7 linked regions of the Tribolium castaneum genome follow. The protein of the gene in region 5 purifies or fractionates together with the protein of the main gene of each other region. This does not show direct contact. Links are inferred from orthologs where the notes say so. Each region holds a gene or a part of one and is shown on either strand. Other genes may lie near its edges. The genes, in order: rictor, Dpm1, uncharacterized protein LOC103313224, Roc1a, ago, aurA and sorting nexin-8.

The links.
Region 1: the proteins of ago (region 5) and rictor purify together in Homo sapiens (affinity purification with western blotting; 3 studies listed by BioGRID, with this or other methods). This does not show direct contact. The link is inferred for Tribolium castaneum from reciprocal best matches to the Homo sapiens genes FBXW7 and RICTOR.
Region 2: the proteins of ago (region 5) and Dpm1 purify together in Homo sapiens (affinity purification with mass spectrometry, with the first as the bait; 3 studies listed by BioGRID). This does not show direct contact. The link is inferred for Tribolium castaneum from reciprocal best matches to the Homo sapiens genes FBXW7 and DPM1.
Region 3: the proteins of ago (region 5) and uncharacterized protein LOC103313224 purify together in Homo sapiens (affinity purification with mass spectrometry; 3 studies listed by BioGRID and IntAct, counting the BioPlex papers as one, with this or other methods). This does not show direct contact. The link is inferred for Tribolium castaneum from reciprocal best matches to the Homo sapiens genes FBXW7 and PRR36.
Region 4: the proteins of ago (region 5) and Roc1a purify together in Homo sapiens (affinity purification with western blotting; 8 studies listed by BioGRID and IntAct, with this or other methods). This does not show direct contact. The link is inferred for Tribolium castaneum from reciprocal best matches to the Homo sapiens genes FBXW7 and RBX1.
Region 6: the proteins of ago (region 5) and aurA purify together in Homo sapiens (affinity purification with western blotting; 5 studies listed by BioGRID). This does not show direct contact. The link is inferred for Tribolium castaneum from reciprocal best matches to the Homo sapiens genes FBXW7 and AURKA.
Region 7: the proteins of ago (region 5) and sorting nexin-8 purify together in Homo sapiens (affinity purification with mass spectrometry; 3 studies listed by BioGRID and IntAct, counting the BioPlex papers as one, with this or other methods). This does not show direct contact. The link is inferred for Tribolium castaneum from reciprocal best matches to the Homo sapiens genes FBXW7 and SNX8.

What each region holds. Positions count from the first base shown.
Region 1 is NC_087395.1:23,067,881-23,070,881, reverse strand, and holds the end of rictor (rapamycin-insensitive companion of mTOR), read right to left. Parts: intron 1,283-3,001; coding exon 1,244-1,282; intron 1,194-1,243; coding exon 781-1,193; 3' UTR 501-780; downstream 1-500. Other genes in the region: sterol O-acyltransferase 1, read left to right, coding at 1-466. UniProt on the Homo sapiens protein: Component of the mechanistic target of rapamycin complex 2 (mTORC2), which transduces signals from growth factors to pathways involved in proliferation, cytoskeletal organization, lipogenesis and anabolic output.
Region 2 is NC_087396.1:17,388,867-17,391,651, reverse strand, and holds Dpm1 (dolichol-phosphate mannosyltransferase subunit 1), read right to left. Parts: upstream 1,521-2,785; coding exon 1,306-1,520; intron 1,259-1,305; coding exon 1,048-1,258; intron 1,001-1,047; coding exon 590-1,000; 3' UTR 501-589; downstream 1-500. Other genes in the region: V-type proton ATPase subunit G, read right to left, coding at 1-163, 250-331; kappaB-Ras (NF-kappa-B inhibitor-interacting Ras-like protein 2), read left to right, coding at 1,749-1,847, 1,899-2,165, 2,214-2,456; phosphoenolpyruvate carboxykinase [GTP], read right to left, coding at 2,783-2,785. UniProt on the Homo sapiens protein: Transfers mannose from GDP-mannose to dolichol monophosphate to form dolichol phosphate mannose (Dol-P-Man) which is the mannosyl donor in pathways leading to N-glycosylation, glycosyl phosphatidylinositol membrane anchoring, and O-mannosylation of proteins; catalytic subunit of the dolichol-phosphate mannose (DPM) synthase complex.
Region 3 is NC_087398.1:3,178,456-3,182,745, forward strand, and holds the start of uncharacterized protein LOC103313224, read right to left. Parts: upstream 2,801-4,290; 5' UTR 2,644-2,800; coding exon 2,641-2,643; intron 1-2,640.
Region 4 is NC_087402.1:12,066,286-12,070,581, reverse strand, and holds the start of Roc1a (RING-box protein 1A), read left to right. Parts: upstream 1-1,496; 5' UTR 1,497-1,592; coding exon 1,593-1,685; intron 1,686-1,737; coding exon 1,738-1,765; intron 1,766-1,814; coding exon 1,815-1,936; intron 1,937-1,987; coding exon 1,988-2,073; intron 2,074-4,126; coding exon 4,127-4,139; 3' UTR 4,140-4,296. Other genes in the region: e(y)3 (titin), read right to left, coding at 659-997, 1,046-1,193. UniProt on the Homo sapiens protein: E3 ubiquitin ligase component of multiple cullin-RING-based E3 ubiquitin-protein ligase (CRLs) complexes which mediate the ubiquitination and subsequent proteasomal degradation of target proteins, including proteins involved in cell cycle progression, signal transduction, transcription and transcription-coupled nucleotide excision repair.
Region 5 is NC_087394.1:36,180,099-36,184,242, reverse strand, and holds the start of ago (archipelago), read left to right. Parts: upstream 1-1,344; 5' UTR 1,345-1,605; intron 1,606-1,739; 5' UTR 1,740-1,749; coding exon 1,750-2,109; intron 2,110-2,155; coding exon 2,156-2,266; intron 2,267-4,094; coding exon 4,095-4,144. Other genes in the region: uncharacterized protein LOC655874, read right to left, coding at 1-52, 251-375, 421-632, 680-834, 879-1,002. UniProt on the Homo sapiens protein: Substrate recognition component of a SCF (SKP1-CUL1-F-box protein) E3 ubiquitin-protein ligase complex which mediates the ubiquitination and subsequent proteasomal degradation of target proteins.
Region 6 is NC_087394.1:2,112,468-2,116,577, reverse strand, and holds the start of aurA (aurora kinase A), read right to left. Parts: upstream 2,801-4,110; 5' UTR 2,716-2,800; coding exon 2,289-2,715; intron 75-2,288; coding exon 1-74. UniProt on the Homo sapiens protein: Mitotic serine/threonine kinase that contributes to the regulation of cell cycle progression.
Region 7 is NC_087399.1:11,361,818-11,366,048, reverse strand, and holds the start of sorting nexin-8, read right to left. Parts: upstream 2,801-4,231; 5' UTR 2,663-2,800; intron 2,633-2,662; exon of another isoform or gene 2,123-2,632; 5' UTR 2,033-2,122; coding exon 1,753-2,032; intron 1,706-1,752; coding exon 1,432-1,705; intron 1-1,431. UniProt on the Homo sapiens protein: May be involved in several stages of intracellular trafficking. May play a role in intracellular protein transport from early endosomes to the trans-Golgi network.

The sequences.
Region 1 (3,001 bases), on a different chromosome or scaffold from region 5:
GACGCGGTTCGGCGACCGGTTGTTCTATCTGGATTGGTGGACGTGCACGGACTATTCCGGGTATTTCCGGAAGTGGAACATAATCGTCCAGGACTGGCTGTACCTTTACGTTTATCGCGAATCTTCCGAAACTGTTTACAAGGGGAATTTATGGTTTGCCAAATTCGCCGTGTTCTTGATTTCGGCGATTGTGCACGAGTGGATCCTGACGTTCATGTTTGGCTTCTTTTTCCCCTTGTTGTTTGTCGAGTTTTTGGTTTTCGGGTCGATTTTTAACTTTCTAGGGGCCCCGAAAACGCCGCTTTTTAACATTCTGTTCTGGTATTCGCTCTGCTTGGGGGTGGCCACCCTGGTTACCATGTACGGTATCGAGTTTTACGCACGAATTAATGCTCCTTTGGAAAATCCGACTTTTTTCGAAAACTTGCTACCAAGGTTTTTGACGTGTGATTGCTTGGAATTGTAGGAAGAGTGGGTTCTTCGTAATTATAGCTTGTCAGTTGTGTATATTTTTTATTTATATTTTTTGTATGTAAAAAAAGTAACGATAATTGTGTCACATGCGAATAAACGAATTTTTCTCACACGTAATTTCACTGTTTTGATCACAAAAAGTCAAATAAATTAGTTATATACACACAGGTTGTTCTCCCGAGTGGAATGAACCGTTCCTTATATACAACAAAAAAAAACAAAGCGACAGACTACACGTAACGCAAAAAAACTTAAACCTAGAAACAGAACACCCTGTATCAATTCGAAAAATAGAGGAACCAAAAGTTACACGATTTTCGATTCGTTTCGATTGCGAATCGGAAATTTATTCTCTTTATATGCGAGTTTTAGCGAATCTAATTTTTTTATATTCGACTGCGCCCCCTCACTATCGATCGAATCCCCCGATGACTTACCAGAATCGACATTATTCTGAGCGGCACTTTTCAAAAACCTGGCGCATTGTAGGTAGAGATCGTCGAATTTCACTTCGAGGAAGAGTTCGTGGAGCATCCGACGAGGTGACGAACGATACGCACATTCCGAAATCATTTTGCACACTTCTGAGTAAATACAAGCGTCTTGGAAGACGTGAGGACTGCCTTGCTTGTACTGCAAGAGCGACTGTTTCACCTGTTTGGCCCAAACGGGGTTCGAAAATAGGTCAATCAGGTGCAGAACCTGGCCCTTGAGAACGTCTACAAGCAAATTATTACACACAATCGGGGGAAATTCGCTACAAACTCACTGTCAGGGCTGTTTGGGTCGTATTTACAGTCCAAAGGGTCTGAAAAAAAAAACAATCCGCGATTAAAGGCTATTTTTCAAGGCTAAAGCCAGTAAATATAAACGTAGCGATACGGGCTACTTCAAAAAATTTAAATTTCCATTATTTGTTAATTTTGGCGAAATTGCGGGCCAAAATCGGGAAGATTTTATGTGAAAAATTCCGAGGAAACGATTGGTGCTAAGAAAACTGGAAAATTCTGGGTAGTTTCGATAAGTTACAATCTTTTTTATGTAAGATACACAATAAAAGTACTTACAATTAAGTTATCAAGCGACACTCGTTTGAAATTGTATTTACTTATGTAAAATCGTCGGGAAAATTAAAAAAACCTAAAGTTCCCCAGTTGTGGGTTTTTTAGTGTAAATTAAAATGCGCTGTCCGCAAACCTTGAGTTTTCCACTCGATGAACAATTAAAAGAAGATTCCCATAATACACAGTAATAGTATTATATTTATATTGAATAAAAAAATAATTACTTAATAATTATATCAATTAACTAATAACACAGATGACAATAACATCTGTCGAGTGCTTAATTGTTATTATGCCAAACACGACCCGTGTCTCTAATTTCTTATATTCACTCTATTCACTCTAAGCTTTATTGAACGTTTAAATGATACAGGCTGATTCTTTTAGGTTCTAATTAGAAAGTTTTTAAAACTATTTTTATTGAATTTTTAAATTCGTCTTTTGAAAGTAACTAAAAGGTACTTACCTGTCATAGTTTTTGACATGTAATTTTTTTGGAATTTTTTTTTATTTACAGGAGTTTATTTAAAAAATTATAGCTCTTAAACCCTTTACAAGAAGTGAATAATTCTTTATGCATTTGATAACCAAAAGTTCAAAGGGTATTCTAAAATCTTCAAGACTGTCAACAGTCAAATTGCAAGGCTACTATGATTTTTTTAAATGATAATCAAAACGCAAAAAACGGAATTTTAGCTCAATATTTTCATTTTTAACTAAATAAACTTTCGAAAAATTCGATAAGGTGTGCAATTAATTAAAAGAAATGTTCGATATGTCCACCATTTTTATTTAAGAAGTTAAAAATTCGAAGGCAGACTGACTAAGTTACATACTTTACATAATTCACTAACTTATAATAAACCATAATTACATATTATTGTTTTACTACTTATTCGATAATCATACAGCTAAAAACGAAATAAAATGTTGAAATTTGACAATTGTTGACCATTTTGCAAAGTCTACTTGATTCACGATGAAAATTACAAAATAAAATCCTTTTTTGTGATTTTTCAAAAACCGTAAGAGATAGGTATAAGACGTGTTAATAAGTCACCATAAATGTCGATGTTCTTTCGATTACCTTTGAGAAAATAAGGTGATTCCATAAAAAAAACTGAGTTAGAGCCGTTTACGATAATAATTTTCAAGAAATCATACTAGCCTTGAATTTTGACAGTCAACAAATTTGAAAATTTCAGAAAGCTTTTCAAACCTTCGGTTACAGAATGTAAAAAAATTATTCACTTATCGCAAATGGTTCAAGAGCAGTGATATTATAAATAAAACTGATATAATGTTAAAAACTATGACAGATAAGTACCAACAACTTGGGTAAATTTTACTCAGTTTGAAAACAGAATTCAGAAATGTGTTTTATTTTAAATTAATTTAAATCCAACTACGTCCTGAATTGTTTCACCAAATTCGACACGAAATATGACAAGACGATAATCAAA
Region 2 (2,785 bases), on a different chromosome or scaffold from region 5:
TCAATTCGTTGTTTGGTGTCCGCCTCAATTTTGGCAGCAACCCCTTCTTTAGAGCCCATGTGTTTCGCCTCAAAATCGCGGAATTGGCGTTCGCGTTCCTTGCGGTATTTTTCAATCTCATCTTGGGCCTCCTCTTTGGCCTGTTTGAGCCTTCGGGCCTTACCTGTAAAACAATTGAGAACTCGTGACTGTCAAACATGAACGCCCACTGCGATTCATGTTTGGGCTTTTTTCGCAAAAAACACTCACGTTTGCGGGCTTCTGACACTTTTTCAGCCGCTCTCTTCTCCGCAGCTAAGAGTTGCTGGATTCCTTGGGTTTGACTTGCCATTCTCACTCAAAATTCACCACGAAATCGGAGTACGAGTACACCTGAATTGAGGCAAATGTCATATGATCGCTAGTTGGGGAAGTCGACACGGATTGATAGGGTGGCGCTAGTGGCAATTGTGTCACGGTCACATGTTTTTCAATTCAATATTAATAAAAAACAATTTAAATATTTCATAGAAGCACTTTTATTAAAAAATAACATACATAAATGTTTCATTTATTATTTCAAATAATTATTGGAATGCAGAATATAAAATTATGTGGTGGCAAACAAATAGAGCAAAGCTTTAGCAAATTGAAATATCTCTGAGCCCCCAAGCTTAGACTCCCCATAAACCCTATCAACGAAAGTAATAGGGACTTCCCCGACGGTATAATTAAATTGGCGCGCCCTCACAATCATTTCCATCTGGAAAACGTAACCTTTTGAAACACAACTTTTGATTAACTTCTCTAAAACATCTTTTTTGTACAATCTGAAAGAACCAGTCAAGTCTGAGGCCCCAGGTCTTAGTAAAAGTTGTGTTAGAAAATTGGCTCCTCTTGAAATCAATTTTCTTCTAAAATCCCAACCATAAACACCACCAGAGCCCACATAACGCGTCCCCGAGACTACATCATAATCCTTTGATTTTTGTTTTTCAATAAATTGTGGGATAAACTTAGGCTAAAATTTTTCTATTAGGTAATATTTACGAAAAATATGCATGTTACATGATGGCTCAAATCCGCATCCATAATAAGAATAAAATTGCCACTGGCGTGTTTCATTCCGTGGATGTAAGCAGTCCCCAGTCCCAGCTTTTTCTCTCTTGGTTTTAGCAAGATTTTATTTTCGCCGTAAATTTTTTGGAGCTGTTTGGCGGCATCTTGCGTCCCGTCGGGGCTTCCATCGTCGATTATGATTACTTCGTAATTATATCCACTAAAACGTGGCTTTAAAAATGGGAAGAGAAGCAATAAAAGCCCCACCTCTTTTCCATGTATTTTACAATCAGCCATACGATAATCGGCAAGTTTTCCACTTCGTTGTATGTTGGTAGTAAAATCGAGTACTTGTCTTCACTACTTTTACTTTCTTTGCCCATTTTGCCGGAATTTTCAAATTTGTTCTCGTCACGTTTGAGGTTAGGAATTAGAACAGCGAAAAGCAGGATAGCCAACAAACCGAAAAAATAGTTGCGCATTTATTGACACGTAATCGAGTTAGCTAAGCAATTTACAATCACTAATTGCGCACAATGAACTGATCAAGTATCAAAATAATCGATAATAAATCCAAACATTTGGTTTTTGCGAATTTTATGATTAATAATTTTTTGATACGTTGGTATTTGTTTGTCAATGTCACCTGTGACAACGACAGGTGTCAAATTTGACGTTTTGAAATAAACAATACTCCAGGCAGCCCCAAAATGGGTAAAACATCAAAAGTAGTGATATGCGGCATGAAAGGGGTCGGTAAAACCGCAGTTTTGGAGCAAGTCATTTACGGTAATATAACCTCGAAGAGTGTATGTATCACAGTCCTAATGCTGAAGATTTACTAAATGAGGGGTTTCTAGGAGTTACATTCTACTATTGAAGACATTTACGTCGCTAATATTGAGTCGGATAAAGGCACAAGAGAAAAAGTTCGTTTTTATGACACTGCGGGCCTTGAACCGCTCCAAACGGCCACAGCTAGTGGAACCACCAACCAGCAGCTCCCCAGACACTATTTGGCGATTGCTGACGGTTATATTTTAGTTTATGATACCGAGAAATCAGAATCACTTGATATGTTAGTGTCACTCAAGAAGGACATTGATAAGAATAAAGATAAAAAAGAGGTGTGTCCAACTAAAAAAATGACTCTTATTTATTTATTGATATTATAGGTTACTATAATTGTGATAGGAAATAAATTTAAAGAGACTGAAAATACGGAATTTGACTCTACGTTGAGTAAAGCCACGGCCTGGTGCAATAGAGAGAAATTGAGGCATTTTACGGCATCTGCAATGCACAGAATTACGTTATATGAGCCTTTTGTTCATATCACGAGTAAATTGAATCCTCCACCTAGTAAAAGTACGTTTACGCCTTTATCTATGGGTAGAAAGGTCAAGGATCAAAGTTAATTTTTTCAAATACTCAAGACTAAATCCTGAAGCATTTATTTATTTTATTTATTGATTTATGTAAATCATGAATCTGTTTATAATAAAGATTTTTTAAAAAACATGTGTGATAATTTTCCGGTTTCTTCTGAAATGACTAAGCATAATTTTAAGTTAAATAACAAAGTAAAGAACTTGTAAATTGAAAGTATTTATTTAGAATACCTTTGATAAAACTTGTATAAAAAATTAATCTCTTATAAAATACTTTGATACAAAACTAAGCCTAAAAAGTAGTTACATTTATCAATTGCAATAAATGTTTGAAGTGAGATTTGTGAATAAATCTA
Region 3 (4,290 bases), on a different chromosome or scaffold from region 5:
GTAAATGATTATTAAATTAATATGTACGGGACTAGTCAATGAAACTCCTTTAACCAAAAATGATTCCTTACGTCATTTTTACGATAGCTAACAGACAGGTAGCGGAATCTTGAAATAAACTATAAAATAAATAATGAATACTAATGTTAAAAGGTCACAGACGCGTAAGTAAATGTCAACTACTTTACACATTCGACGTTCTTTCTTATGTAAGATGAAGACTCAAGATATACTAAACTACTAAAGCATTACATCATAATTGTTCGACAATATATTACTGATTGATATATGAGTCGTACAGAATGAGTTAAACAACACCTTGGTCGCAAAAATGTTAATTAGCACCTGCAACAAAATGCCGCTTCTTCGACTACTATCTTGATTAATATTTCATCTATAGAACTTAACACAAACAGCTATAAATTATTCACATAAATGGCTGTTTTAACCGAATTAATTAATTAATTTTTAGTGAAATTAATATAATTTTCTAATTAGAAGTATTAAAAGTTCCACAATGTGCATTGCATTATCCAAAACACCTGTAGATTAGTTTTTAATTATTATCGGTAAACAAAATTGGTAATTAGTAGAACACGTGAAAAAATACTGTGTGATGTGGTAAAGATGTGGTTCAAGGCAAATAAATATTTTGATTGCTTCATCAAATACCTAATCATTGATCAAGTATTGTACAACTAACGCATCTGTGGAATAACAGCGCAGCGTTATTAAGATTTCTTTTATAATTTATTGTTTTATAATTGTAGAGTTATAAAATTGCACTTTAAAACTCTTCGATGCCACCATTTTTAAAAAGAGCTTTCTCAAGGTTTTAAACAGTAAACAACTTATTTCTTTAGTGATTTTGGATCTCATAGCTTTTTTAATTGGTAACATGGTAAAATACCAAATAAAATAAATAATAAATTGAGAAAACGAATACCTAACATTTTTATTACTAACTTATGCCTTGACCATGACAGTGACATTACGTATGCTGAACTCTCCGGATGGTTGTTTTATGCATTATTGAATTGATGTAATTTTATTTAAATCTGAAAAAATATGCTAAAGTTTAAGCTAATCTTGTTAAATTGTTAGCGGAAATGTCATGGTTTTCACTACCTTAGAATTTGTTTGACACCGTATTTGAATAAGGTTACCGTTTGTGCAAAATTTAAAATAATTTGTACACCAAACAAAAAACGATGTACACATCGTTCGATTGAAGGATATCAACGTGAAAGTATTTACTTTTGTTAAAATTAAATGATTGTATTTTCCAACATGTTAGCTGTCAATGAAACTAAATTGGGTTTTACAAAAGAGCTAATATGCATAATATATTAGACAAAAACAAAAGGTCAGAATGTACCATCCAAATATTTTAATAATCCAGGAGATATTTTTATAAAGCAATAATTTATTTCCTTGACATGTCAAGGATTCCCCTCATATCAACGAAAACGCTTTCGAATGGAATTCAACTTAAATGTACAGATGGTACACTTGTTAAAAAAATTTGCATTTTCAAATGTCTACTACTCCATCTATTTTATTTCGATAACTCCAAAATTTAAGGCAAATTATGTGTTACGCCAACTTAATAGCATCTATTAAAAGAAAAGAATCTCGCGAATTTAATGTAAAGACCATATAATTCTTAATTTTTTCGTTGAGGTTGATTCCGGTTTTTAAAAAATCCCGTCGATAAATGTCAAAGTGTAAACCCTGAAGAATCTTCAAAGTACAATTAAAAAATTCCAAACTAACAAGACACTTAAGTATACGTTATGTCTATTTTAATCGAAGTTGTAAATTATACTCCTTTCTTATGCATTCTTGTTTTTAAAAAAAGAACTTTCATTCAATTATTTACTGACGATCGGGTACTTTGCCGATTTACATTCAGCACTTCATTATAAAAACAGCATATTTATGCTAATTTACAAACTTGCAGCATACATTATATTATATTAATTCAATAATTTCTACAATACGTCTAATTAAAATTTTGATTGATCAGACAATGAGTTACTAGTGTCGCTTTGTGTTATACCCATTCAATATTTGTAATAATTGCACTGGAGATAACCTTTGGAGCTTAAATGTTAAAGCAGTTAATATCAATAGGTTATTTTTAAATAATTAATATAACTGACAATTTCAGCAATATATGGCTACAGTTACATAACGTTTTCAAGCTAAGCAAGCACGTTTACAGCAGGGGAAGTGCAAATAACTTATTCTTTTCAGGATGATTAAAATAGTCGCACAATTTAAATATAAATCCTACAATTTTGTTCTCAAGACAAAAAACAGTTTTCCAGTGTCAAACAATTTTTTCCTAAATTTCCATTCGCGATGACATTAATAGGCAATAAAAATTGTCAGTCTTTGGGGACAAAACATTAATCAATCATACAGTAGCAAATAACTAAATGATTACAAGATAATTTGACACCGATGTGATTTCAGTAAATTTGAAGTAAGAGAGAAAGTTTTGTTGTAACAACAATTACGTACATGCGATTAGATAAATTAGAAAAAGACATTTAATTAATTAAGCACACATTGGATTCGCAAGTTAAATTTTTTCGAAAATTAAAAATTGGGCTAATTAAATTTTAACCATACCATGCTGCGATCATGTCTTGCTACATGGAAGGATACTGCACTAAACACTAGACATTAATAATTGTATTTTGTAAAAGGAGGGTTTTTATATTATCTATATGAAGGTAATCAAGTTGCAAAACTATCCTCCTACGTGAAGACACATCTTCAGCGAAATATTGCCACCACTTTCATGTTATCGAACTCACGGAGCTCATCTCATTCATCGGCTCGTGTGATGTGAGGAGACTGCTCCACAGCTACGACAGTGGCGTGAAAATTGACTCCAACTCTTCAAATCATCAAAAAAAAATACTTTAAAGCTTAAATACCTAATAATTTAAAAAAATGTAAATTTATTAGAAATTTACCAAAAAAAAACAAAAAATATAAAGTGTTGCGTTAAAAAAAACTCTCGTCGATTGGCACCCTGTATCAGAATTGCTAATAGAATAGACATTGAAAACTTGCAAAGCTCACTTTCCCCTATTATTGAACTTTGATGATTCAAACTAACTGTTTGTTTGCAATTACTAACAAAAGTATAAATATGAATATCTTTGAGCATGATTAAGGTTAACCTTTTCGTTATTTAGGATGTTTCTATTAAAATTATATTAGAAAAGCAAACTTTTGTAATGAACAGAGACCGAGAGACCAGAAAGGTCATTGTGCAGTCTTTTTTTTCTTACGAAAAACAATGCCCACAATTTTAAGAACGGTTTTAGAAAGGTTCAAAACAAGTGCAAAAAAATTCCTAAGTTTTTTAAAGAAAAAAATAACCAAAAATTAAAAGAATAAATGTCTTATAATTATTTAACAAATGAAATAATACAGATTGAGCCAAAAGTAGCGCACAAAATTAAAATTTGAATCTATTTTTTTTTCAAAAAAAATCTTCGAAGAAATCAAAAGAAAACAAACAGCTTAAAGTTAAGTCATGAATGCTAATTTGTATAATATTTGTAATTGCAAAAACCAAACTCGATTTTTAATTTCTTGGTTTGCAACCAACAATATATATAATTTTAAAAATTAGAATAAGTTATATAACTTGTTTTTTGCCTTGTGAGAAGTTTTGGTTGCATACTTTCAGTTTTAACCAATTTAATTTCAACTCAATTTACAAATCAAACGAAATTTTTGCATTTTTTTTAATTAAAAAAATACCCAAATGAAATTGGCAATTGTAAGCAATAATTTAAACTTAACGCTCATTTTTTCATTCTCAAACAGAACGGTAAAATCATTTACCTACATACACAAAGTGTCCCAAGTATGACCTAAGCTCAAATTTAACTGTGCTAAAAAACGTAAAGTGATTGCAAAAATAAAATTATTCGAATTTTAAAATATTTATCAACAATTTACAAACGAACAGAAATATTCCGAACTTGAACTCCCTAAGGCGTTTTACATAAACAGCGAGACTACACCTTTAAAATCGCGAAAAATGTTGGTTTTTACAAATAAGAAATAAGCACACAAAATAAGGGTTTTTTTAATTTTTTTTTTTGACAGTCTTGGAAAATAATTGGTTCTAACTGTTGGTTCTGGACAAAGATCCAAAAATTTTTTTGATTGAACTTTATTATTTTTTATTTTTTCAAACGCTGCTTAATACTGAATAATTGTTTTATTATTATTTGACTTTGTACCAATCTAGCGAAG
Region 4 (4,296 bases), on a different chromosome or scaffold from region 5:
CCAACCTATAATTGGAGCCACATTGTAAAATTGGAAATGCGAACAGAAAAAAAAATACAAATTGATATCTATCATAGATTTTTAAATTTTTGCAGAACCGTTTCTTAAAAATTTCAATTATTAATTATTCAATTATCAATAACCTTAATTATCAAAGACTTTAACAATATCAAAATTAAGACACTGTTAACATCGCATTTAACCGAATATTTTTTTTAAATAAGATTGATAAAAATAGTTATTAATGACAAGATCTTCCAATAAAACTAGAAAATATATAAGCTATTAATTCTTTGAAAAGCATAAATAATTTATAACAATTACTTCTAGAGAAAATCCGACGTTGGCATTTTTATAATTTCGAAACAGCTAATAATTACGCTAACATTTGATACTGTTCAAAATTTTTAAGACATGACTGTGAAGCACCCCAATGCCCATAGCTGACTTATTAACTATTAACTCAATTAATTAATAAAATATTTGATTTCGGCTGTATTTTTTGGAAACGAAATTTAGTACATTTTGAAACCAAAACATACATGTTCCATTGAAGCCCAGACTAGTGGCTCCCCTAACGCCCGTTTTTTGACACTGGCTGACTTATTAACTAATCATTTAAAATTAATATAAATTAAATAAATATTTGATTTCTTACCTTGCAACATTTGAAGTTCAGCTGAAAACTCATCAAGCTCCATCGCAATGTCTTTATTAGCCCCTCTCAGATCCTTTCGAATCGTAAAATCAAACGAAGTCGTCGGCTCCCCTAACAAATTCTCCAAATCCTGAACAATGTCATCAACATTTTCTGTAATTTTCTCCGTAGAAGTATCCGTAATATTCATATCGAGCAGGTCCTTATCGGACGCAATCGGCGATGGGTTACCACCCCCTGACATCTCCCTCACTAAATTAATAACTGGGTTCGCACTACTCGGGTGTTTCCCCGAATCCAAAGCATCCGAGGATGTGCTACTGATTGGATCGTCAGCAGCTGAACACAATTGAAGTAAGCGCAAGGAAAACTGGAAAAAACACTTACCAATGTGTGACGTTGAAGTGGTTGTAAATGCATCGGTGGAAGACGTTGGGGTTGAATCACAAGACTCACTTTTTTCGTCGGTATTCGATGACAGCAGGTTGCCCATTGTTGAGGTTAACTCGCTTTCGGTGGATTTTTCACTTTCCATTGTCACTTGCACGGGAAAATGGTGCTATTTGGTTGAAAACACACCGTTTATCACAGACAATTAATTACGGGTATAATTAAATGCGGCATTTTTGTTTACGGTTTTAAACGACAAACGCCATCACAAGTGGAAGCTTCGCCAGGAGTGCCAACGGCAACCGTCAGACGAAAATGGCCATTAATAAAATAATTATCAATTAATACAACACTTGTTTACAATTTTAATGCGTTAGCCATCCATTAGTTAAGTTAATAACATTGATTTTCGCAAAATTGGTCATTCTGTGGTGGTTGAAGGGCACCCAACACACGCGTAAAATTCCCCAGTCGAAATTTCACCCCAAACAGTTTGGCAATTAACGTTTGTAAAAACTCACAATTTTGTGTTATTTGGGCAAAAATGGCAGCGGCAATGGACGTGGATGTTGACGAGGTCGAAGTTCCCACTTCGAGCAGTTCCAAGGGTGAAAAGAAGCGTTTCGAAGTGAAAAAGGTAAGTTTGTGAGACATAACCTAACACTTGATGATTTTTCATTTTTATGAAGTGGAACGCCGTAGCGTTGTGGGCTTGGGGTACGCTGTGTCATTTTATTAGACACGTTGGTTTTAATTAAAATTTTAGATATCGTGGTCGATAATTGTGCCATTTGTCGCAATCATATTATGGATTTATGTATTGAGTGTCAGGCAAATCAGGCCTCAGCGACCAGTGAAGAGTGTACAGTTGCTTGGGGAGTGTGTAATGTGAGTAATTTGCTGTTTTTTGAGTTTTGGTTTTAGTGAATCTGGTTTTAGCACGCGTTTCATTTTCACTGTATTTCGAGGTGGTTGAAGACAAGGCAGGTGTGCCCACTAGATAATCGAGAATGGGAATTTCAAAAGTAAGTTTTTTTATTTTAAATGTTTTTCTAACGGGTTAATAGTCCCTTTGTTTTTACAACTTTTACAATACAGAGGGTTTAAATTTTTTATTGTTATACCATCTAGTGGTCAATTAACGATCTACTTTGTTGTGTGACATGGCGGGAAATTTGAATGTCACATTTCACAGTTTTTGTTATAGTAATTTCATAATAATACTTAAACACAGGCTGTCCCAACGATCCCAAAAAGCTCCATAATTTGTTTATTATTAAAGATATTGAGTTTTCCTTTTTTTTAGATACGGGTATGCATATAGAGGATGTTCCAATATAAAAAAACACTAAAGCTATGTTTTTTCAAATGAAACACCCTAAATTTTATTGCATTTTTGCTTAGTTTTTAAAATATTTTGATTTTTTTGACAAAAACACAAAAAATTATTACACAAAAAGGCAGAATCGTAGAATCCCACACGGGGAAAAGTTCAAACTTATAAATCTGTTCCAATTGTTTAGCGTATTACAATTAGAAACAGAAAAATTAAAGTTTATTAAAACTTGAAAAACTTAAATGGAACACTCTATTTTTTGTTATTGCTTCTCAAAAATTACTAAATTACTAAAAACATAAAGTTTCAACTTCCTAAAGTTACTAACTAAAAAGATATTTCACTTTAAACGTTAATTTCAACAACATATCACAACCATAGCAACTCCACCACAGACCACTTGTTGGAGATTATACGGGACTAAAAATTCTATAAGTATTGAAATTTTAATTATTTCACTGTTATAAATGACAAATAATGGCCTAAAAGTAACATTAAAGTTATTATTAGCAGAAAATTTCACTTTTTGACTACTGAAACAATAGGTAATAATTTTTTTATTGTTTAATGTTAAAAATCTTTTGAGTAATCACTAATTAGCGAAAGACCCAACTGTTAATCTTGTCAGAGAGACTATTTAAAGGTCTTTTAGATGCAAAAATAAAAATTGGGTGTTCCATTTAAAATTTTTAAGTTATTCAACTTGCAACAAACCTCTTCATTTTTTATCTTCTTGATTGCAGTAAGCTAATAAAAATAATACATCCTTGGAGTTTGAACTTTCTTTCTTTAAAGTGGTGAAAGTTCCTCTTTTCTGAGATTCTAAGTTTTTATGTAACGATTTTTTTAAAAAAGCGTGTTTTGGCAAAAAAATCCAGTTATTGTAAAAACAAAGCAAAATCGACCTATAACAATTTGAAAAGCTTGAAAACATCTGTGTTAAAAGCTACATCCAAAAATGCAAAAAATATAGGTTGTTCCATTTAAAAAAACAAGTTTGTATTGTATCTAATTTTAGAAACAGCCTGTATACTTGAAAATAATTTTAAGTGGTAGGTACTTTAACTTAAAAAACAGTATAATCGTCAACGTTAGTATTTGTCCTAAGAACGTATTTAAACAACTTAAATAACTTAAATAAAAATCAAAGTAATTTTACTAAAAACTGAATTAATATGTATTTGTTTTCTAACAATTGTTCAATTGTTGTAATATTAATTAATTATTTCGTTTGAATAAATAAACTGTTTCAAAACTATAAAAACGCCAACGTCGCCTGTTACTGAATTATTTTTTTAAACAAAATACATAGAATTTTTAAAATAGTTACTAATGATTAGATCTCTCATTGAAAGTATAAATTACATTAGGTACTATTTTTTAAAGTGCATGAATAATTTATAACAACTAATTTTGAGAAAAAATGCGATTTTGGCGTTTTTATACTTTCAAAATAGCTAATACATATACTGCATTTGCCAAATAACAACGAATAATGAGAAACGCTTTTGTAAAAGTTTTTTAGTTACCGGTATATTGACTTGTTCTCTACAGAAATACATCATCCGATAAATTTCAGAAAAACTCAAACAGTAGTTTACGAAAAAAATCGAAGAAAACAATTTTTAAGAAACTGTAGAAAGTGAAAATAAACTGAAACATGTGATGGTGGTGTAAATTACTTTGATTTTTTTTATTTTATTTTTTATTCTAAGAAAGTACTGATGATGTATTTTTTGCAGGTATGGGCATTGATCGTTATGTTATCAGTAGCATAATACGGTTTTCGGTATTTGATTCTCACCATTTTTTTTCGTAAACTCAACATGTTATAACGGAAATTTAGTTTTTGTATAATCCAGGTCTTGAAATTTTTTGTTACATTTTGTATTTCAATAAATTATTATTCAAT
Region 5 (4,144 bases):
TGTTGGTTGCATGCAACGCTGGTTAGAGAGCAAAACTCGTTGTTGTACAAAACTGAAAAATAAATATTTTTCGATAAAAATTTAGCTCAAAAACATCAGTATTAAAAGCTACATCCATTACAAAAAAAAACAATTTCCTATTGTAGCTAACTTTGGACACTTGTATACTTGAAAATAATGTTTACATCTTCACTTTGCTCCCGTGAAATATACATGATTTTTTCGCCTCACTGGACGAAAAAATAATTACCTGAGGCAGGGCACGGATTACGGTCGTCCCAAATACAGCACTTCCGGTCCATTGAAGCTGTGACAAAGACGTTTGGTTCCGACTTAAGTGTATCAACATAGTTTACAAGTTCCGTGTGATAATCGCTGGAAATAAAACTTAGATAAGGGAAAATTGTTGATAAAACTTACGGAAAGTGATTTAGTGGTTTACGGATAGTGCTATTAATGTCCCAAATGGTCACCGCTTTATTCGAGCAGGTGAGTATCCGTGTGCTGTTCTTCCAAACTGCGATTTTCGGAATGCGATCTATTTCCCTATAATAACCTGCCGATTGTATGGTTTGGTTTTCACGTGATATTGTGAGAATATTTAAAAGACCCGTATCTTCAGCTAACGCAAACTATTTTCATATTATTTGTTGTGTGTACACATTTAGCTGAAACTTACAGTACTGTCGTTTAAAAATTTCCCGTCTGAAACCGTGGACCCAATCAAGCTTCTGTTGTGTTTCAGAAGCAACAAATTCTCCTCATTTGAGAAAAATAGCAAAGTGCCTTCCCAAAGAGTCCCGTTTAAGTTCGAACACCCCAGAACTGACTCGTCTAAAAGACAATTAATCGCCAAAATTGAAAAAAACCCACCTTACCTTTTTCATTAAATTCTAGGAAAAGTAAGTGTTTGTAAACGACCGGTGTTGTCGAAAGTTCGACTTTCCGTTGCAGCGATTTATTCGGTGGATAAACCACCGTATTTAATTCGTTTTCAATCATTTTAACACAAATTCAAAAAAGAGTTCGAGGTTAAGTTTTGGTGCAAAAAAGCCACTAAAATCACATGTGCGCCGTTAAATTCCCCCAGCTTGTCACCTTGCTACTCCTGTAACTAAAGTCACGAAATCGTAGCGTAAATTCTCGAAATACAATGCAATGGTGTTGGGGAAAAACACAAAACGGATTTTCCTGCAATTGGTGAGTGTTTTCCAAAAGTTTGGGGTCCTGGATGTTTTTTTGGGCGAATGGTTTGTGGAGTCAGGGTGTTTGTGAAACGGGGCGGCGCCTTAGCCACGCGATTTTGCTGATATTTCTTATTCTTCATTTACACAAGTTCGTCCAGATATTTGTAATGGTGCCAATAAATCCTAGTATTTTGAGAATGGCCGTCAGTGTAGTTTTTTGAAAAGGTATTTTACCCAGCGAGATGCACAAGAAAACTCGCTTTAGTGTCTCGGAGTGATAGGAAGTAGCAAACAGTGGTCCTTGATGCATAGTTTTTGGAAGCATTTCGTTAATTTTCCTTCTTCTCTTGCAATTATCTGGTAGTTAGAGTAGTTTCGTTTCATGCCTTCGAATAATGATAGAAAATTACATCAGTAGGTATGTCAGATGCAATTATTCTAACCATTTTTCCCCCATTGCACTCATCTTGTAATTAAGTAGGATAACGTGTTTCACTCGCGGAGATAATTTTATCGCAAAACTTTACTTAAGACGTTTTTTGTTTTTTCTAGACTGTAGATAATGGCAGAATCATGTCCTTCAGGCAGAAGTAATTTCAACCCCTTATCTAGTATTAATCGAGATTCAGAACTTCCAAAACAAGACTGCACCAGCCCTAGCCCTACTGAAACCGTTTGTCTAGAGTCGTTGTGTACCACTGATAATGCACCAGGTACATCCCAGAATCACTTAGCTCCATTGAGTGAAAAACTAGATGAGATATTTAGAATTAGTCAATCGGGCGAGGAGACTGAAAAAACTAGCTTTCTCAATAAGCTAGGTCTGGAAGAATGTGATGAAGAAGACAGTTTTGAGAAGGAAGAAAACTGGGAGGATTGTACTGAAGGAGACCTCTCTGAAGAAAATCAAGAGCTAGAAGAGGTAACTCCATACAGTGTGTTAACTTTTTACTAAATTATTTTTACAGGACGAAGATAGCAGTGAAGTTTTTTCAGGTTCACCTCCAGGTCCTCATCAAACAACACCAAGGAGTTCGTACGCGAAGAGAAGTGGGTCGTACGCCACTGACAGATACTGGGTAAGCAGAAATTATGTTTGTTGTTTCAAGCGAATGTGCAATAATATTATTTTAAAAATAAACCCATTGACTGTTTCCATCACTGGATAATGCATTTTCTGCAAATGGTTAGCACAAGGCAAACAAAAAATTACAGGCAGAGATAATTTATATTAATTTTGCTTTTTTCTTATTCACTGATAACTAAAATATATGTCACATTTGTCTAACACGTGTAGTTTTCTTAATATATTCACTAAAAGTTTTAAAAATTTGTTTCTGGTGGCATTCATTGTTTCTGTGATCAACTATTGTTAAACCTTGTAATTATTTTAAAATATCTTCAAGTGAATGTAGATTAAGTCCAAACAACTTTTGTTTTGTTTGTGGTAAAATTGTCTATAAAATCTGGGAGACTTAAACGATCAAATGGTAAATATTTTCATCAAATCTTATGAAGAGAGTTATTAAGGTTTTTGGGATAAAAATATGTTATTCGTTTTCTACTAGTCCACATTGAGATAAACACCCTGATAGTACAAGAGAAGAAGCAATCTGTAACATTTTAGATGTTGCGAAAATTGTCAAATACTGATACTTTATAATGAGTATTTAAACTTAATTTGTTTTCGACTTCAGCATCAGATTTAGTGGTAATTATTCTACTGACATTGGTAAAAATCGTGGTAAACTAGTGTAATTATCTGCAATTTTTTGTAAACAAATCAGTGACACATTTTATTACGCCACTGCTCAGGTGGTACTTAATCTTTGCAATACCTGTTGTATTAAATAATTTCTCAATACTAGTTTTTGTTTAATTTTTTTTAACAAAATGTGACTAATAATAAATAATATTACTCTCATAAGTAAAGTTGTGACCATTTTTGGTTGTTGTTTTGACAATTTAAAAAGAAAATAATTAAAAAATACGAGTTGGTCTTGACTATTTGGTCGAAAATGTAATTTAAAGGAATTTGGTTTTAATGAACGCTTACCTTATCTATGTATAATACGAGTTTAAAAACAATCGTCACAGTTTTAATTATGTATTTAATCTTTATATAACTTTTAGATAAAATAACAAAACGAATAATTAAGGGGCATTGGGGAAAAATCGATAAGTAATACGCGAATAAGTCACGTTTACGTAGTAGTGCATTAAAGTTATTGCTCGTTTTTTAAACATTCCCATGGTCAATGAAGGTCTTTAACCTGTTTGGGACTTTGCTGTTTTTAACTATTTAGTTTACTTGTTGTTTTTGTATTGGTAAACACGAGTTGGGCGATAACGTAAATTAAAGATAGACATAAAAGGTAATAATTTTGATCCTTTTTGAAATTATCGTTGTATAATACAAACTAACAATTTTCATAGTTATTTATTATGCCTGTAGATTTTTTTTTAAATTGTTGAAAAAATGTTTGTTACCTTTGACAACCTCTAATTCTGTGTTTAGTAAACAATGTTACTCAAATATCTATGATAATAAAGCAATTTCCACATAATCACATGCATTAGAATACAGTGTAGTAATAATTAACTGCATGTCATAAAAAACTTATCAGGTTAATTTTGCTTTTTAACGCTAGTTTTTCCGGTTTAAGATGTTACATTATTTTCACCTTAATGGTGTTTATGTATTAATCGCAAATGTAAAGAGCTTAACAAAAATAAAACAGTCGTACTTCTTTTTTTTTAATGATGAAACTTGTAAGTGTTGAGTCGATAACATAATACGTTGATCGACATATGATTTTAGCCTAATCTTCTCTCTGATATTTTTTGAAACGAATATTTTGTGCTGTTTTGTTAGCAGTTGTAATGTGTTTTGTTCGGTTTTTTTAGAGAAAACGGAAGTTGGACGTGCAGAATGGGTTTCCGTGCAAGAAGTTGCT
Region 6 (4,110 bases), about 34 Mb from region 5:
GCGGATGTAGCGGGCGCATGTCTCCTCCGGGAAGCGCCTGTTGGGGGCTGCTTGCAGCGCCTTGTAGCATGTGCCTAAACAGGGGGGTTATCAAGGTGGAAAGTGGGGGCACAGTGGTCCAAAGTGGGGAAAACACCCCCGAAATGTTCTTTTAATTTAATTAATTGATTTCTAAAACAACGATGCAAAAAATTCCTAAAAAAACTGTATTGGAACAAAAATACCGCGATGTTTTTCTTCAAAAAAATTGGAAGACAACGTAATTTTTTTAGCGATATTTTGTTCAAACTGGCTAGAAAATCACCCACAGGTATTTATGTTGAAAACTACATTATTCTTGAGTTCTTTTGAATGTTTAAGCATGTTCTATGCGCTCAAACTTACAAAAAACAAAAAAGATGGTAATTTTTTAATCACGTTTCTATGGTAAAAATTTACCTTTTTGTCTAAAATTCTGTATGTTTAAAATCACGTAATTTTTTTATTTTTTTTAACGATTAATTTTTTATTTTTTTGTTGTGAATTCGCTTTAACTGGCGGACAATTAAAAAAATGAACATTATTTAATTTTAATTAGTTTTTTATCAACAAATTTAAAATTCTTCGTTTTTAGGAAAACATGAAGCACGTCTTCGACCAGAAAAAATTAGGTCAAAAAAATGTTCTTTTTCACTTTTTTTTAACTAAAAACTCGAAATTTTAATTTTAATTGAAAAAAAATATTTGTGTTAAAAGGTCCCTTTTTTCGTTAGATTTTGATAAATGCCAAAAAACAGACTATTTAAATTCTAAATAGCGCAGCCACCTTGATTTTTTTCAAACCCAAAATAATAGTAAGAATAATAACAATATATAGCTAACAAAAATAGATTTAGTAATAAAAAAGTGAAAAATGAATCTGCTTTTATACACAATATTACACATTTAAATACAACAAATAAATAATATGTCAAAAAACTCATAAATATAAATTTTTCATTCAACTTTGTAGTCTAAACCATTTTTTTTGTTTTTTTTATAAAATCACAAAAACGTCGAGCTTAGGTGTTTCTGTTGTCATTCCATAGATTTTTTATCAATGAAAATATTGATTCGAATGAATGGAGAAAACTAGTTTTTTAATTCATTTTTTAAAGAAAACTTCAGTGCTATTCAAAATAAAATTTATTTATCAAATATTTTACAAAAACAAACCTTTATTAAAAAAATTGTTAGTACAAAAAAAATTCGAGGACGATTTTTTAAAAATTCTGTTTTCAACTTTGTTGAATTTCATTCGTCAAACTTTTCGCCAAGACGTCTCAAAATGTTCATTAGTTTGAAAAATTAAAACTATTATATAATATTAACACTGAAAAAACTTGAGAATTATCAACCTTAGCATAAAAATAGCAGAAAAAACGCTTTTTGGCATAAAAGCATAGTTTTTTAGCCAAACTGACAAATAAAAGTTAAGAAAATTGGTTCATTTGAAAAAGAAAAGCTTAATTAGCAAAATGCTAGGAATCCGAACTTTAGTAATAACTTTCAATATAATAATTTCTCGTATATATGACATGACTTTTTTTACCGATTTACAAAGTTTTATCAAAATAAATTTCGTAAAAAAAAGTATAAAAATTAAATCTACTTTCATATAATATAATATTACAAAACAATGCGAAATAGTTTTACTGACATAACAAATAAACAGTGAAAATACATTTTCATTTAATTTGGTAACAAAAACCAACATTTTTTTGCCTTCAAATTCAGTGCACCATAAATTAAAAATTTTAGTTTAAAGTCTTCTTAACACTGATAATTCAAAGCTTACTCTCGTCATTCCAGATTTTTCAACATTGAAAATATTTTTTTTTGGGAATGGAAAAAACAAATTTTATTGTTTTAAATTGTTTTTATTTAGTTTATAATAGTCAGCCACTTTTCCGTATCCAATGTATTGACCTCAAGACGTTTTTTTAAAATAGTAGTTAATGGTTTTATTTTAGTTAAGACAGCTTTTAGTAGTAACTTTGTTCCCCATTTAACTTAATGTAATAACTAACCCACAAATTTTATAAATCTTTCTCAACCATTTACTGAAATCATTCAAAAATGCTTAGTTTGCAACTTTCAGAAGGCTCTTCTTTTAGAAGATTTTTCCGAATAACTCTTGTTTTTCATTCATTGTTTATTGAGCCCCAATTTAAATGTGTTTTTTTGTTAATAAAACACATGAAATTTAATGATTTCACCAATTTCTGGCGGGTTTTGAGCAGTTTGGACCACTGTACGTGGGGGCTTACCATTGGGGGCGTATTCCAGTATTATGTAGACCCTCGACTCGTCGTGAAAATAGCCATACATTCGCAGAATATTGTTGTGTCTCAAGTGCGACTGAATCTCGATTTCCCTCCGCACTTGGTGCTCGTTATTGAAGTCTTTGATCGCACTTTTGAACAGCACTTTAAGCGCAACGACAAATTTCGACTGTTTTTCGCGAGCTAAGTACACGTTTCCGAATTTACCACGCCCGAGGGGCTTCCCGATATCGAAGTCCGCCAAGGTCCAACGCCGCCCCTTCGAACTCTCCTGAGCCGTGTCACTTGCAGCCCCCTTCTGGGCCTTGTTCTCGGAGAGAGCCCCCTTTTGCGCCGGGGGGCCCTTTTTCGCCGCGGCGCGCGGAACGTTGTTCTCCTTGTTTTGGCACACGGGGGCCTTCCTTTGGGACATATTTACAACAAAAACACTTCACTCCGACTTAACACTTTTGCACAATTTCAACTTGTGATAAGTTCGAATTTGAATTGTCACTTCGTAAGTCAACGGTTTTTCAACTGCCAACACTCCAACACGAAAAACCCAAAACAAATTTGTGTGAAGACAGCTCCCCAAACCAGCTCCTCGAAATTCCGAAGAAACCCGAACATGAAGCCAGTTTCACACTAGCAAAATACGTTTCAATTTGCGTAGATGTATGTTTGGTTGTCAGCTTTGAAACCGTTTAATAAAATAAAAATCCGAAAAAACACTAAACACCCTCTTAAAAATGACATTTTAAGAAAGTCACTTTGCTAATAGCGAAAAACTCAATTATTTACCACAAATTGCTTCTTAATTTTTCCCACTTTTTCACCTAATTTCAATATTTATAGCTCCGCAAATGCACTATCGCCCCATTTCACCCCGAAATCGGTTTTGTCACACAATGCCCTTTTGACCACCAATTCAACAATAAAAAAGACATTTTTCAAAAATAAAATTATGGCCTTTTAGTTGTCGGAACAATGTTAAAAAATATATCCGAAATTGAATTAAAATCGGAAATAAATCAGGCTGAATTACCGGGCCTGCTAACAGATTATCATTTATACTCAATTTATTAGAGCTTTACATGAACAGTCAGACTACAATCAACTTGGTACTATCACTGTTTTCATTAATTATAATTACACAACTGTGTGATAAGTGAAAAGAATTTTCGGTAGAATCGTTTACTACGAGTTCCAATTTTAAATAATTTTTCATGAACGAAATGTACGTACCCCTCATTTAGTTTATGATCCCTAGCTCTCCTTTTCTCCACCGACAACAAACGGTTTAAAGCTATTTTGCGCATCAGGCGGCGTTTGCTTAAAAGGACCGTAAACCATAAACCATAAACCGCCCATGTGTTTTGTTAAAATGTTTTTCACAAGAATTCTGTGAAGGGTGTCCAGTAAATTATCATTTATTGCATCTTTATTTTCTATTTCCCAAAATCGGACAATATTATTACCAAAACAGGCGAGTTATGATAACAGGCGTGCATAAATTGGGCACTATTGAATCCCCAAATACCGGGCACCCTCTCTTTACGTGTTCGAGTCCTAGAAATTCGGCACCGCATCTTATCAGGTCAAAACGGATTATTACCTGATCACCCCTTTTCGGACATCACAGAAAAAATAGGCGAAAAAGACAACTTTACCAAAAAAATTTATTAAAGGTGTGAACATCTAAAAACAAGTTATTTTGTTTTCTTGTAATACAAATTTACGTAGTTTGTGCCATTCTGATACAATATACCTAGATGGCATTGCCACATCAGCGACCCCACTTGGTGCCTATTTCCAAGTCCCTGTACCA
Region 7 (4,231 bases), on a different chromosome or scaffold from region 5:
CGCTATTAAATAAAAAGTGCATTTAGACTTACACAACCTACCTACTTGATGCACATTAAAATATAAAAAAGAGTGTATCTTCTGTCTCTACAATATTTAATGTTTTATAAATTTAAAGCTACTAAAAAAATACTAAAAAAAAAATTAATCGTAAAGTTCAGTCATTTTTTTTAATGTAGCCCTGGGAAGTCCCGTCCCACAGAGTTCCATTTTTGAACCTTTGCTATTTAATATATTGATTACTTATACCACGTGATTGAACAATTTAAATGAGTTTTTCATAATTATTTGAAAAACTGTAAGAAATGTATTGTTTTGATTGCCATTAAATAAATAAAGACAGTCCGTTTGAAACAACTAAATAATGATAGTTTTTTTATCATCGTCTTATTAAGACATTAGAACATTATTAAAAGCTCATTACATAAAACAAGTACTATGTAATTGATAAATACAGGGTGACCCAGAGGTGCGGAATCGGTTTATAACTTTTTTTGGGAATTGAAATATTGCTATGTTGTTTTTATTATCCGATAGATCGATTTAAAGTCCACAAACCAAAGTTACATTTTTTGAAAAAGAAGACCCTACATATTTATGCATTTTTAGATTCTACGCAAAAAATATGACTATATAAACTATTCTAGGTCTATCATTTTTCGTTTTAGAATTCTTCAACTTTTCGTTATAAAAAGACCAATTTTTGAAAAATCACTGCGAAGTCGCCTATGAATATTTCCAAAAAATTTGCAACAGAAAAACTGAGAATACCCTATAGTTTTAGCAATAGTCGACTTTTACTTGAAACACGCAAATAATTACATGATGAGTTAAAACACAAAAAAGTTGAATAACTCATTTTTTTTTCAAATTGGTCACCATGTATTTATTTACACGTATCGATAGTATTTCTCATAAACTTTCTAATAATATGCAAGTTGTATTCGGAAATAAAATTAACTAGACGCCCTCTGGTGATGACATTTGACTATGTCAAAAGCAGTAACGAAATTTTCGTAATTCCACATTTAAATGACATTTAATAAAATTCTTAACAATTTTAAAAAAAATTTTTTTTAGAAAAATAAATAATAATAACGTAATACTGAGAGTTGAACAGCAAGTTCTTCTGGTGCTATTTTTAAAATATTATTACATTGTTCATTTTCAAGGTAAAACTATAATATTTTACTGCTTAATAACAACTATTATGATTAATTCTGTAACTTTTTTCAAGTGTTGATATTTATTTTATTTTTATCACTGAATTTATTGCGATGTAGATTTTTTTAGTCATACCTACATAATTTAATTTAATAGCATTTTGAACTCTATTAATTAAAATTCCCCACGTTATTAATTGTCAAAATCAATCAAATATTTCGAAATTTTTATGTTCTATTAACAATGTTATCAAAATTTTATTCTTACCTGTATGGAAACCGACTAAGGAGCAGTTCTTGCAAGGCCAAAAAATCATTATACCTCCTCGTGACTTTGGAATTAAATCGTCTCGAAGCCACCAAATATTCCGAATATTTCAGAAACAGCCCCTTCTTCTCAGGTACCAATTCAACACTAATCGTATCCAACTGAGTGATTTCAGTATAAGTGAGCCCCAAAACGGCAGGATTGGCTTTTAAATTGAGCTTCAAAACTAGATTTTTAACAGGGGTTAGGTCACCAATACTCGGAGTCGGATATTCTGTTGAAAACTGCGCTAAAATCGAATTGATTTTTAAACTCGCATACCTTTTCCCGAAGCAGTTTCGAAGAGTTTTTCGGATAGTGTTTTGCCCTGTTGTGCCCAAGCCACTAGCGCTAGCGTTTTGTAAAGGTTGGTTCGCGTGATAAGGCCTTGCGAAGGCCCCGCAAGGTCCCAGATAACTTTCAACTGAGTGGTGTTTAGGTTACATTGGGATAAAAGGCACTGGTACACGTCCCTGTGGACTGGCTCCCCATTGTGGGAACACACATCGAACACTTCGCGATACAAAGGGGGCACAGTCCCGGCACTCAAATCTGTCGTCATGTTAGCTGGACGAGGGCTTTTGCGACGTCCAAATCGGAGCGAGTGTCGATTTCGAGACTATATTTTTGGGGGATTTCCACAATTTTGCATCTACAATCACTTGCGTGCGTCATTTGTGGGTGGACACGACACCGGATAGAAATAATTTATTAATTGGCCCCACGGGAATGACACTTAATAAACATAACCTCAATGCCTCGTTGGCATTACTTTTTTGACAGTTTTTTGAGAGGTTAGGTTAGGTTTAATAAATAAACAAGGAAATGGAAATATTCGCAGTGAAATTCTGCGCGACTTACACAACACTACTGAAAGGAGTTTAATTGAACACACGCTGGGATTAGAAATATTCGCACTTTCACTTTGCCGCAAAAAGGTCAAGAGGCATTGTTTATTTGTTTCGTTTCATTTTTCTGTATTGTTGATGGAATCGTGGCTGTTTTAACACTAATTAATGGTTTCAAAGTGCTCGGTACCCCCTGGTACCAACTTATGCAAATATCCGGACTTATCCGGTTCGTGAGTAAATAAACAGCGGTGATAAATTATTAATCTTAACTACCGGACGGTGTTTTCATGAAAATAAAACGAACTGGTAGAGATTCATTGGTTAAGTTGGTGGTACTGTACCTGTGACTTTGTAAAAGTCCCCGATTGATTAGTTTTCTTTCGGCGAAATAAAACATCCCATTTTCGAGCAATTCGCCGGGCCAGTCTTGTCTTCGTGGTCGATTGTGAATGGCGAAGTTGAGGGGGAGTACACTTCCGTCCTGTCTTTGTATCCACCTTAATTTATGTGATCTATTTCGAAAAAAGTTAGCCAAAATCATTACAACCCTAGTTTTTCATTAAAGTTAAGGTGGTACTACGGATATCTAAAACTATTAGGATGTGAAACGAAATATGCAGGCTGTCCCAACGATCCGAAAAAACTCCATAATTTGCTTATTATTTAAAATATTGTCTTTTCCTTTTTTTTATAGCTGCATATCTGCTACATATTCCTAAAATATTGCCTGTATTTTGTATAGTATAGTATGTTCCAAAACTAAAAATGCATTAAAGTTGTTTTTTTTAAACGGAATACCCCAAATTTTATTGCATTTTTGGACGTAGCTTTTAATGCTGATGATTTTAATGTTAACTTGTATTAGTCGATTCTGCTCAGTTTTTTAAATATTTTGATTTGTTTGACAAAAACACGTTTTATTAAAAAATTTATTACACAAAAACGGAGAATCGTAGAAAGGTAGGACTTTCACCACTTTAAAGGGAAACGTTCATACTTAAATCTGTTCCAGCTGTTTGCCGTATAACAATTAGAAACATAAAAAAATTAAGAAGTTTGTTAAAAGCCAAATAACTTGAAAAACTTAAATGGAACGCCCTATTTTTTGTTCTTGCTTCTCAAAGACCATTATTGTCTATCTAAAAACATAAAGTTTCAAATGGTTAAAGTTAATAACTAAAAAGATATTTCACTTTAAAAGTTAATTTTAACAACAATGAACACTATTCCTGAGCATTGTTGTTACCATAGTAAACCATGTCATCACCATAGCAACTCCACCATTTATTAAATTTTAGTTATTTCACTGTAATAAATGACGAATAATAGTCTAAGGGTAACACTAAAGTTATTAGTAGCAGAAGATTTCACTTTTTGACTACTGAAACAATAGTTAATGATTTTTTTAATGTTTATTGTTAAATATATTTTGAGTAATTAGTAAAAGACACTTAACTGTTAATGTTTTCAGAGAGACAGTTTAAATGTCTTTTAAAGAATCTTCTTAATTGCGTAAGCTAATAAAAATAATACTTCCTTGAAATTTGAACTTTCTTCTTAAAGTGGTGAAAGTTCAACTTTTCTGAGATTCCTAGTTTTTATATAATGATTTTTTTAAAAAAGTGTGTTTTTGTCAAAAAAATCAAGTTATTTAAAAAAACAAAGCAAAATCGACCAATAACAATTTAGCTTAAAAATATCTACATCAAACAATGCACAAAATATAGGTTGTACGGTTGTACCATTAAAAAAACATAAGTTTGTGTTGTAGCTACTTTTAGAAACACCCTGTATACTTGAAAACAATTTTAAGTGAGACAGGGGGTTAGTATGCACGGCTTTCGTAAAAAAAGATTAATTTTCTAACATTTAAAGGTCAATAATGGACCTTTTCACATCTGTGAATAACC